Arabidopsis thaliana: one gene and its partner. The protein of the gene in region 1 interacts with the protein of each later gene in a biochemical or structural test. Each region holds a gene or a part of one and is shown on either strand. Other genes may lie near its edges.

What was found.
Region 2: the proteins of LHCB6 (region 1) and DEG1 form a complex in vitro, tested with the Arabidopsis thaliana proteins (one study listed by BioGRID).

Annotation. Positions count from the first base shown.
Region 1 is NC_003070.9:5,445,790-5,449,588, reverse strand, and holds LHCB6 (light harvesting complex photosystem II subunit 6), read left to right. Parts: upstream 1-1,708; 5' UTR 1,709-1,912; coding exon 1,913-2,139; exon of another isoform or gene 2,140-2,354; coding exon 2,355-2,904; 3' UTR 2,905-3,127; downstream 3,128-3,799. Other genes in the region: AT1G15830 (uncharacterized protein), read right to left, coding at 1-863; AT1G15825 (hydroxyproline-rich glycoprotein family protein), read left to right, coding at 1,060-1,440; AT1G15810 (S15/NS1, RNA-binding protein), read right to left, coding at 3,318-3,461, 3,557-3,609, 3,719-3,799.
Region 2 is NC_003074.8:10,365,002-10,371,030, reverse strand, and holds DEG1 (DegP protease 1), read left to right. Parts: upstream 1-2,086; 5' UTR 2,087-2,166; coding exon 2,167-2,588; intron 2,589-2,677; coding exon 2,678-2,800; intron 2,801-2,958; coding exon 2,959-3,130; intron 3,131-3,251; coding exon 3,252-3,289; intron 3,290-3,516; coding exon 3,517-3,715; intron 3,716-3,833; coding exon 3,834-3,986; intron 3,987-4,089; coding exon 4,090-4,224; intron 4,225-4,294; coding exon 4,295-4,372; 3' UTR 4,373-4,422; exon of another isoform or gene 4,423-4,682; intron 4,683-5,362; 3' UTR 5,363-5,379; downstream 5,380-6,029. Other genes in the region: AT3G27930 (beta-galactosidase), read left to right, coding at 102-232, 424-465, 582-658, 753-843, 935-1,016, 1,108-1,180, 1,270-1,438. UniProt on the Arabidopsis thaliana protein: Serine protease that is required at high temperature. May be involved in the degradation of damaged proteins. In vivo, can degrade beta-casein.

The DNA of each region.
Region 1 (3,799 bases):
TCTCTTCCCTCACCACCTCTTCCATTAGTTTTATCACCACCACCACCTCTACCTGGCGGCACGGTTTCACAGCCACCATTTACAATGACACCGCCTCCTCTTTTAGGTGGTGGCGCTCCGGGAACCACAGATTCACCTCCTCCGCCTCTTTTAGGCAGTGGCGCTCCGGGAATCACTGGTTCCCCTCCTCCTCCTCTTTTAGGCGGTGGAGCTCCGGGAATCACTGGTTCACCTCCTCCTCCTCTTTTAGGCGGCGGAGCTCCGGGAATCACTGGTTCACCCCCTCCTCCTCTTTTAGGCGGCGGAGCTCCGGGAATCACTGGTTCACCCCCTCCTCCTCTTTTAGGCGGCGGAGCTCCGGGAATCACTGGTTCACCTCCTCCTCCTCTTTTTGGCGGCGGAGCTCCGGGAATCACTGGTTCACCTCCTCCACCTCTTTTTGGCGGCGGAGCTCCAGGAATCGCTGGTTCACCCCCTCCTCCTCTTATAGGCGGTGGTGCTCCGGGAATCACCGTTTCTCCTCCTCCTCTATTAGGTGGCGGAGCTCCGGGAATCACCGGTTCACCTCCTCCGCCTCTAGTCGCAGACGTCCCGCCCATGCCACCACTAGCATGGTTTTCGCCGCCTGATATTACTACTGGATCACCACCACCATCTCCAGTTTTCCTCCTTCCTCCGCCTTTAGACCGGTCAACATTAACGCCACCAGCTGCACCTGTAGACAATCTCCCACCGGTTATAATCACGGGATCTCCTCCACCAGTAAACAATCTCCCACCGGATATAGTCATCGGACAACCGCCACCACCTGATGTAACCATTGAACCGCCTATTGACCAGTCAACATTAACGCCACCAGTCATTCCCGTGACTTTGCCTCCACCGGTTCAAGACCTTCCTTCGATTTTACCTCCCCCGGCTGATGAGTTGCCGCCACCGGTTCAAGAATTCCCTCCGATTTTGCCTCCACCGGTTCAAGATTTCCCCCCAATTCTCGCTCCCCCGGCTGATGAGTTCCCGCCAAATTTGCCTCCACCGGTTCTAGAATTCCCTCCGATTATGCCTCCACCGGTTCAAGATTTCCCGCCAATTCTCACTCCACCGGCTGAAGAGTTCCCGCCGATTTTGCCTCCACCGGTTCAAGAGATCCCGCCGGTTTTCACATTACCACCGACCGTACAAGATCCACCGACAATTCCAGTATTCTCCACACCACCAGTCCTCGGAGATTTCCCACCCCAAACTCCCGACTTTACCACGCCGCCAGAGGTCACAAATCCATGGCAACCGCCGGTGACGTCATTCGCACCACCAATAGAGTCCATCCCAACAATACCGGATAATCCGTTTCCGGTTACACCAAACCCGGACATGGGTTCAAATCAACCGTTTGTTGAGCTTCCTCCGCCTACTTGGGATTCCCCGCCATTTAATCGTTAATTCTCTTTATATATTTTTAAATTTTCGTTTTTTTTTTCAGTTAATCATGTAATGTGTAATCTAAACGCAATAAGCCACATAATGCAGCCATTTTGTAAATTCATTGCTGTCATTTACATTTCAATAAGAAAATAAATTAATTTCCACGTGTCATTTTATTTTCCTCTCACAATTTAGATTTAGATAAGTAAAGTATTAGAAAAATGTAAATACTGAGTTGGCAGAATAAGACAGTGGTGAGTGTGGGTGATGTGGATATGGTGAAGTAGTTTCTGACTCCTAATTGGTCAGAAATCTATCCACGACAGCCTCTGAGATTTCGTCTATAGATTCTCATTATCTCACATTGTCCCTCTAAATCTCCTCTCTTTGATTCTTTCTGCTCCGAAAAACAGAGAGAGAGAACAACAACCAAACACTCATTTCTCCACATCTTGAGAGAAAAAAACAGAGCAAGTATATTAGAGATCTCATGGCGATGGCGGTCTCCGGAGCTGTCCTCAGTGGGCTTGGTTCTTCGTTCCTCACCGGAGGCAAGAGAGGTGCCACCGCATTGGCAAGCGGCGTAGGCACTGGAGCTCAGAGAGTTGGCAGGAAAACTCTTATTGTCGCTGCTGCGGCTGCTCAGCCTAAGAAATCTTGGATCCCTGCCGTTAAAGGTGGTGGCAACTTCCTTGACCCTGAATGGCTCGATGGCTCGTAAGTCTATTCTCTTTTATATCTGAGTTACTAGCATGAACAATGCTGAATTTTCATTCATATCTCTCATAAACTAGCTTGGACAATAGATTATGATAATTCAAGGTCCTGATTACTCATTTGGTTCTAATTTGTTAGCTGAATCTCAAGAGAGCATGAAAAGCCCGAATTGTTTGTTACCCAGTTATTGAGTCAAATGTGTGTGATATTCGCAGGCTACCAGGAGATTTCGGGTTCGACCCATTGGGTTTGGGGAAAGACCCGGCTTTTCTGAAATGGTACAGAGAGGCTGAGCTGATCCATGGCCGATGGGCGATGGCAGCGGTTCTTGGGATCTTCGTCGGCCAGGCCTGGAGCGGTGTGGCATGGTTTGAAGCTGGAGCCCAGCCAGACGCGATCGCTCCCTTCTCGTTCGGGTCGCTTCTTGGAACCCAATTGCTTCTCATGGGTTGGGTGGAGAGCAAACGATGGGTCGATTTCTTCAACCCGGATTCTCAATCGGTTGAGTGGGCAACGCCATGGTCGAAGACCGCCGAGAATTTCGCGAACTATACCGGCGATCAGGGATACCCCGGTGGGAGATTCTTCGATCCGTTGGGTCTCGCCGGGAAAAACCGCGACGGTGTTTATGAGCCGGACTTTGAGAAGCTGGAGAGGCTGAAATTGGCAGAGATTAAGCACTCGAGGCTCGCAATGGTTGCCATGTTGATCTTTTACTTTGAGGCCGGGCAGGGGAAAACGCCTCTCGGTGCTCTTGGTTTGTGAGAAAACGGCATGATGTTTTTGATTCTGTAGATACAATTTCTCTTCCAAAAACCTAATGTTTCTCTTCTTCAATGTGACATTTGGGAAAAGATCATCAAACCATTGCTATAAATGTAAAATGAAATCATGAGGCTTGTTCGTAGATAACTTTATTATCACAACTCAAATGTGAAAGGGAATACTAAACATCAATGAAAGAGATCCACAACTTCATTTCTTTGCCACAAATGCATGATTGAAGAGCTCCAGCTGAAACACTGGAGTAAGAGGACAAAATAGAATAGAGCGACTTTCTTCCCTAGAGTGGAAAATGCCTAACAGGGTTTGAACAGCTAAGTCTCACTCACAACAGTAAGTTGGTTGAACCAAAAGAGTGCACAGATACCATCATCGGGTCTCTAGTGCAATAAAGCTTAGCACTTGTAATCCGGGTTGTCACGAAGGCTGAGTTTTGACAGGACAAGGCAGTAAGAATCCCAGTCAGTTCGTCTTAGATATTTCAACAGTTTCTTCCGTTTCTGCACCATTCCTAAAAGTCCCTTCCGCGAATGCTTGTCCTACGGTACAGCCACCAACAGGTATGACATAAGGTTCCACAAGAAACTGGGATGGATAGCTTCACAAAAATATCGAAAACAGTTTGAAGTTTTACCTTTTTGTGCAAACTTGAGGATAAATGCTTGATCTTAGTAGTGAGTTGTGCCACTGTAAGGAGAGACCAGAGACATCACAAGACAATCTATCTTAGAACGTGTAAACCTTTAAATGGCTAAAGTCAACATTGATCAGACCACTGGCCTTATGTAGAGTTTACCTTGCACACGTGCAGAACCACAGTCTGATTCTGACATCTTGAACTCTTCCCTGACTTTCGAGAGCTCAATTTTCATCTTCT
Region 2 (6,029 bases), on another chromosome or scaffold:
TGTTGAACAGATTTTACGCATCACATGTGGAAACTAGTATCTATAAATTATGTGATTGAAAGAAAGTGAGCATCAACAATTGTTATTGGATTTTGTTTTAGATGGAAGCAAAGATTTGGCAAAGTACACAGACCCAAGAAACTGGAGTTGTGCTGCTGGCTATGGAGTAGGGTCACAAAGCCCCTTGACTCCTTCTTTTAACATTGGCATTGAACTAGCAAGAAGCTCTCAGGTGATTCTTTTAAAATCCGTGTAGATGAAAACATGTTGTTTTGCTGTCTGTATGCACAAGTCTTAACCCCAAACAATTTTTCAGTATCTCATGGAACTTGACAAACGACCACATTATTTATCTAATGGCATATCATCCATTTTGTAGCATTTTTAGTCTTGCTGATTATGTTATCTTTCTTGTAAATGCAGTTTATTGCTTCGTTCTACCAACACGTAGTGGTCCAAAGACGGGTACAACTCTTTCAAACAAGTCCTTTTTCTGTGCTGCATCTTATACTAGTCTTCCATATATAAAGTTTAGCACATCTTTGGCTCAATATGAAATCGATTTAATGGACTTGGAACAGGTGCAAAATCCTTTCGAAGAAAACCAAGTAGTTGGAATCACAAACTACATTGATTTTGGTTTTGAGCTACAATCGAGGTAGTGAACATCTCTAAGTAAAAAAAAAAAAAACATTGTAGCTACTGTTTGTCTATACAGAAACAGAACTTTATATTTCGTCTTAATATTGAAGGGTTGATGATTCCAAGACGCCACCCAATGCCCCAGATTCTTTATTGCAGGTGGCTGCGTCTTGGCAGGCCAACAAGAACTTTTTGCTGAAGGTATAAAAAAATATTTACCTTATCGAGTTACTCAAAAAGAAACCATTTATCTCAAATTTTGCTCAGTATGTAACATTTTCAACTTTTGCAGGGTAAAGTCGGAGCTCATAGCTCAACATTGTCATTAGCATTCAAGTCGTGGTGGAAACCGTCTTTCGCATTCAATATTTCAGGTATGCGTTGATAAATAACCTGAATGCAGCGAAATCAAGATGAACATAGGTTCTTGGTATTTGAACATGTTTGGACTCATTTTTTATGCAGCAACAACTAATCATAGGACTGGAAATGTCCAATGTGGGTTCGGTCTACGTGTTGATAACTTAAGAGAAGCCAGGTCAGTCCATTTGTGACAAGTTTAAAATTAAATCAACCCTCTTTAGCTTCATGATCTTCTTCACATTGTTTTATTTTGTGAAATTGCAGTTACCAAAGAGCTGATCCAAACTTTGTAATGCTGACACCGAACAAAGAACATTTAGCTGAAGGGATTGTGTGGAAAATGGGGAAGAGACCAATGTATCAAGCCGATGTGGACGCAGAGAATTTTAGTGAGCTGCCAAAAGAACTTAGACCGTCCCAGAAGATTCTCTAAACTACACCATTAATCTTTTTGCACTTTTATCTAGTAGATTTAGATATCAACCAAGTCAAGTATTTAATAAGTTCGACGAAAGAAGAATTACTTAGGAATAACCATTTTTACTCTTATGGAGTACAAGTGTTTAGTGTTCAAAATTAGGAGTGGATTATCTGGTTTAAACTCTTAAGTTTGGTCTTTTTGGGCTTTTGATTTTTCGAAGTTCTTAAATGAAGCGAAATCCTGATTTGTTTTTGGACTTTTCATTCGGTTTGGAACGATATTTATATGGGATGATATATTACGGGTGAACAAATATCAAACAAAAACAAAACAAATAATATAAAGAAATACAACTTAAATTTAAAAATTTTAAAAAATCGATTATTGGTGTACTACGGGTTATGGATATAAGTAACAACATTCTTTATAATATTTACCATAATAAAGGTTACTGTTTAAATTTATTTTCAAAGTACAAAAAGTTTTCGATTCAATTTGATTCGGTAACAAAAAAAAGACCCGGTTTTGTTTATTCCAGATTCATAAGATCATAAAATAGTGGTTTACTAAACAAATTTCAATTCAATTTCGGTTCGATTCGGTTACGTATACAAAACCATAGCTTCGCATAGAAAAACCATTATTTTCAAAAATTAATATTTTTAATTACAAAAAAAAATGAAATAAAACAGAGACCACAATCCCATTGTCCCATGACCAGAAGAAGAAGAAGAAACTAAATGGCGACGACGACGAGTTGTTCGCTTCTCCTTTCTTCCACTCTCTTCCTTCACTCTCCTCCTTCTTCTCACCTCTCCTTCTTCAATCTCTCTTCTTCACGATCCTCTCCAATTTCTCTTTACCCAATCCGATCCAAACGCTATTTCCGAATCCTCTCGAAGCTTTCACTAAACGACAACAACAGAGACGACGATGATGATACTCTTCATTTTACTCCGTTCTCCGCCGTTAAACCTTTCTTCCTCCTCTGTACCTCCGTCGCGTTATCGTTTTCACTCTTCGCCGCTTCTCCCGCCGTTGAATCTGCCTCGGCGTTTGTAGTTAGTACTCCGAAGAAACTTCAAACTGATGAGCTCGCGACGGTTCGTTTGTTTCAAGAGAACACTCCTTCCGTTGTTTACATCACTAATCTCGCCGTGAGGTATCTGAATTTGATTTCTCTCTGGTGAATTTCGTTTTGAATTTCTTCTCTCCGTGATTTGAGGATTGGTCTAATGTTGTTTGAATTAGGCAGGACGCGTTTACATTGGACGTTCTTGAGGTACCTCAAGGCTCTGGTTCAGGATTTGTGTGGGATAAGCAAGGTCATATTGTTACCAATTACCATGTTATTCGTGGTGCTTCTGATCTCAGGTTAGTTATGTTGAAACTTTGAGAATCTGATTGATTTTTGATAGAAATTGGAATTAGTAATTGTTGTATTCTTAGTTTTATAATGAGTACATTGTTTCTTTGGATGGTTTCTTTTGATGTTTGTGTATGATAAGGAAGTTGGATGATGTATATAACAGGGTCACTCTTGCTGATCAAACAACATTTGATGCAAAAGTTGTTGGATTTGACCAAGATAAGGATGTTGCAGTATTACGTATTGATGCACCGAAAAACAAATTAAGACCTATACCTGTTGGAGTCTCTGCTGATCTGCTTGTTGGCCAGAAAGTCTTTGCCATTGGCAATCCAGTGAGTATACATCCTTAAAGTGATCATAGATTAAAGCTCTGCTTTGTGTTTTCTATTGCTAGCTAGGTCAATACTTATGTTTCTTGTTCATACGCACTAAAGCAAGAACTTTTTTGTGCAGTTTGGACTTGATCATACTCTCACAACTGGTGTTATAAGGTATGTTAAATTATATTTGTCTTCTCTTTTTTTTAAGTTGCATTCTACTCTAATCAGATGTGTTCTTCTCATAACGAACTCACAAATGAAAGTGTCAAAAAAGATGATTGGTACTTGAGGATACTGGATACATATATTTTCTCTTGCCCCTCTTCATGCCAAATGGCTATACTATTCCTTTTCTCTTATTAAAACTGTAGCATGTTTGTGCATTATGATTTGTACAGTGGTTTGCGAAGAGAAATTAGTTCTGCTGCAACTGGTCGTCCAATTCAAGATGTGATACAGACAGATGCAGCCATTAACCCTGGTAACAGCGGAGGACCTCTTCTAGATAGCTCAGGAACGTTAATTGGTATAAACACAGCCATTTATTCTCCTTCTGGTGCATCTTCTGGAGTGGGCTTTTCGATCCCAGTTGATACAGTGAGTTCTCTCTTCTTTTTTACCCATTGCAAATCTGATCAGATAGAGTCTTTCTCTATCATTGAATCCACTAACGGGAGACTAAAGTTGTTTCGAGCTCTGTTTCTCTCATGTTCAGGTTGGTGGTATCGTTGATCAGCTGGTGAGATTTGGTAAAGTCACCAGACCAATCTTAGGTATCAAATTCGCACCGGACCAATCTGTTGAGCAATTGGGAGTGAGCGGTGTGCTCGTCTTGGATGCTCCTCCAAGTGGTCCAGCCGGCAAAGCCGTAAGCTCTTCCTGTTTCCAAGTTTCCATATAACAGATATTTTCTCTATGTTTCACTCCGCGGTTTTAATATTGAAATGTGTAAAATTGGTTTTGTTCCACAGGGACTTCAGTCAACAAAACGTGATGGTTACGGGAGACTAGTACTAGGAGACATAATCACGTCGGTGAACGGTACAAAAGTCTCTAACGGGAGTGATCTGTACCGGATTCTCGATCAATGCAAAGTCGGCGATGAGGTAAACTCCGCAGTTTTTGTCAATTAGTTTCTGCATCCGAGATAGTTTTGACACTGATGATGTTGATTAGGTGACCGTAGAGGTTCTAAGAGGCGATCACAAGGAGAAAATCTCTGTAACTCTCGAACCAAAGCCGGACGAGTCTTAGAAACGTCGTTGAAAGAAGTAAATATACATAACGTGTAGAAAAAAAGTCCGGTGGGTTATATTTTTGTATATCAATTGTTCGGAAAATAGATCGTCCAATTGTGTACATAAAATCTGTTTATATTTGCATACATGCGAAAGGTAACCGGAAATAACCAAAATTGCAATGTCTTCAAACGGTCTTATGGTTTGGATTGGTTTTTAATTTCGGTTCAGACATTGGGAGTGACGAGTCTGACACCTAGAAAAAATCAAAATGAGAAAAATGAAAACCGAATTTCGTCGGCTTAATGGACAGTTACCTCATCTTAGCAATGATGCATAGTACTGATTTTGCGGCTTTGTAGTACCAAATTTTTTTTTCAACACTCTCTCGGATGCATAGTACTGATTTTGCAATGATGCATAGTACTGATTTTGCGGCTTTGTAGTACCAAAATAAAATTTCATGATTGTGCGGCTTAGCAATGATACATATTACATAGTACATTAGTACTGATTTTGGACCTTTATTTTAGTCGAGACAATTCTGAACTTACGGATTCCGAAGTTAACAAAGTCCTTTTATAGCTTTTATTCAGTTCCGAACATGGTTACTTTTTATACATGAAACTTCCTAAAATTTTACATCTACAAACATTCGAGTTTGAAAATTTAATGGTTTGATTTTCGACTCATTACCAAGAATTTCTTTTTGATATTATTCTTCATGATTTATCAAAAGATGTACGTGTATTATATGGTTATGTCTTGAGTTCATGTCATGTGTTCGAATCTTTATAATATAGTCTTACACGGTTTAGGTTATTTGTTCAATTGTTAAGTCATTTTACGGTCCCTATTTCACATTATGTTAGTTTTTTAAAATATTTAAAACAACGTACTGTAGTTTTGATAAATTATTGAGTTTTTTTATTAAGTTGTGAACGCATGCTCTCGTTGAGAGATCATTTACTCGAGCTAAGTTATGACTTGGATGGTTGTGTTGCAGGTGAAAGGTAGCTTTGCAAAAAAAAAAAAAGTTTGAGGTTATGTCTGCATGTTTCCCTGTATACAAACTCAACCATTTGTATTTTATTTTTTGGGTGCAAAAACTATAATTTACGTAGTTTTTGAACACTTTCATAACATCAAATATTACCCACGTGATAAGTGAAAACGAACCGAATATGTAATGATCAGCGAAGGTCCCTACGTGGAATTTAATATTTGTGTCATTCTTTTTAAGCAACACCAACAAGACACTGACATGGGTTGGTATTTATAAATTTGCAACGTAAAGTATATGTAGTAAGATTGTATCTTCTATGGTTGGGACTGTATCTAAACCAAACCGGTTTAATAGGGTATATATTTTTTTTGTCTTTGTCTTTGAATTTGTGGGGTCATAAATCACGGGCATCTTCATTTGGAAATGTATTCATAGTAATGTATATAAACTACTTTCGAGCCGACTTGGTAATGATTACGAGAATCCTCTGCTTTTGGAGTAAATTTCTAATTTAATATGTACGTGTATCTAGATATATATACGACGACATGTCGTTACCCAAATGCTTCGTTAGAGGATAGCTTGTTGAGAACTTGACTATGCCAATCATATATGTTTGTTTGGCTTTATGTAGCCCCAATATTAACAACTTAATACTAAAAAACCT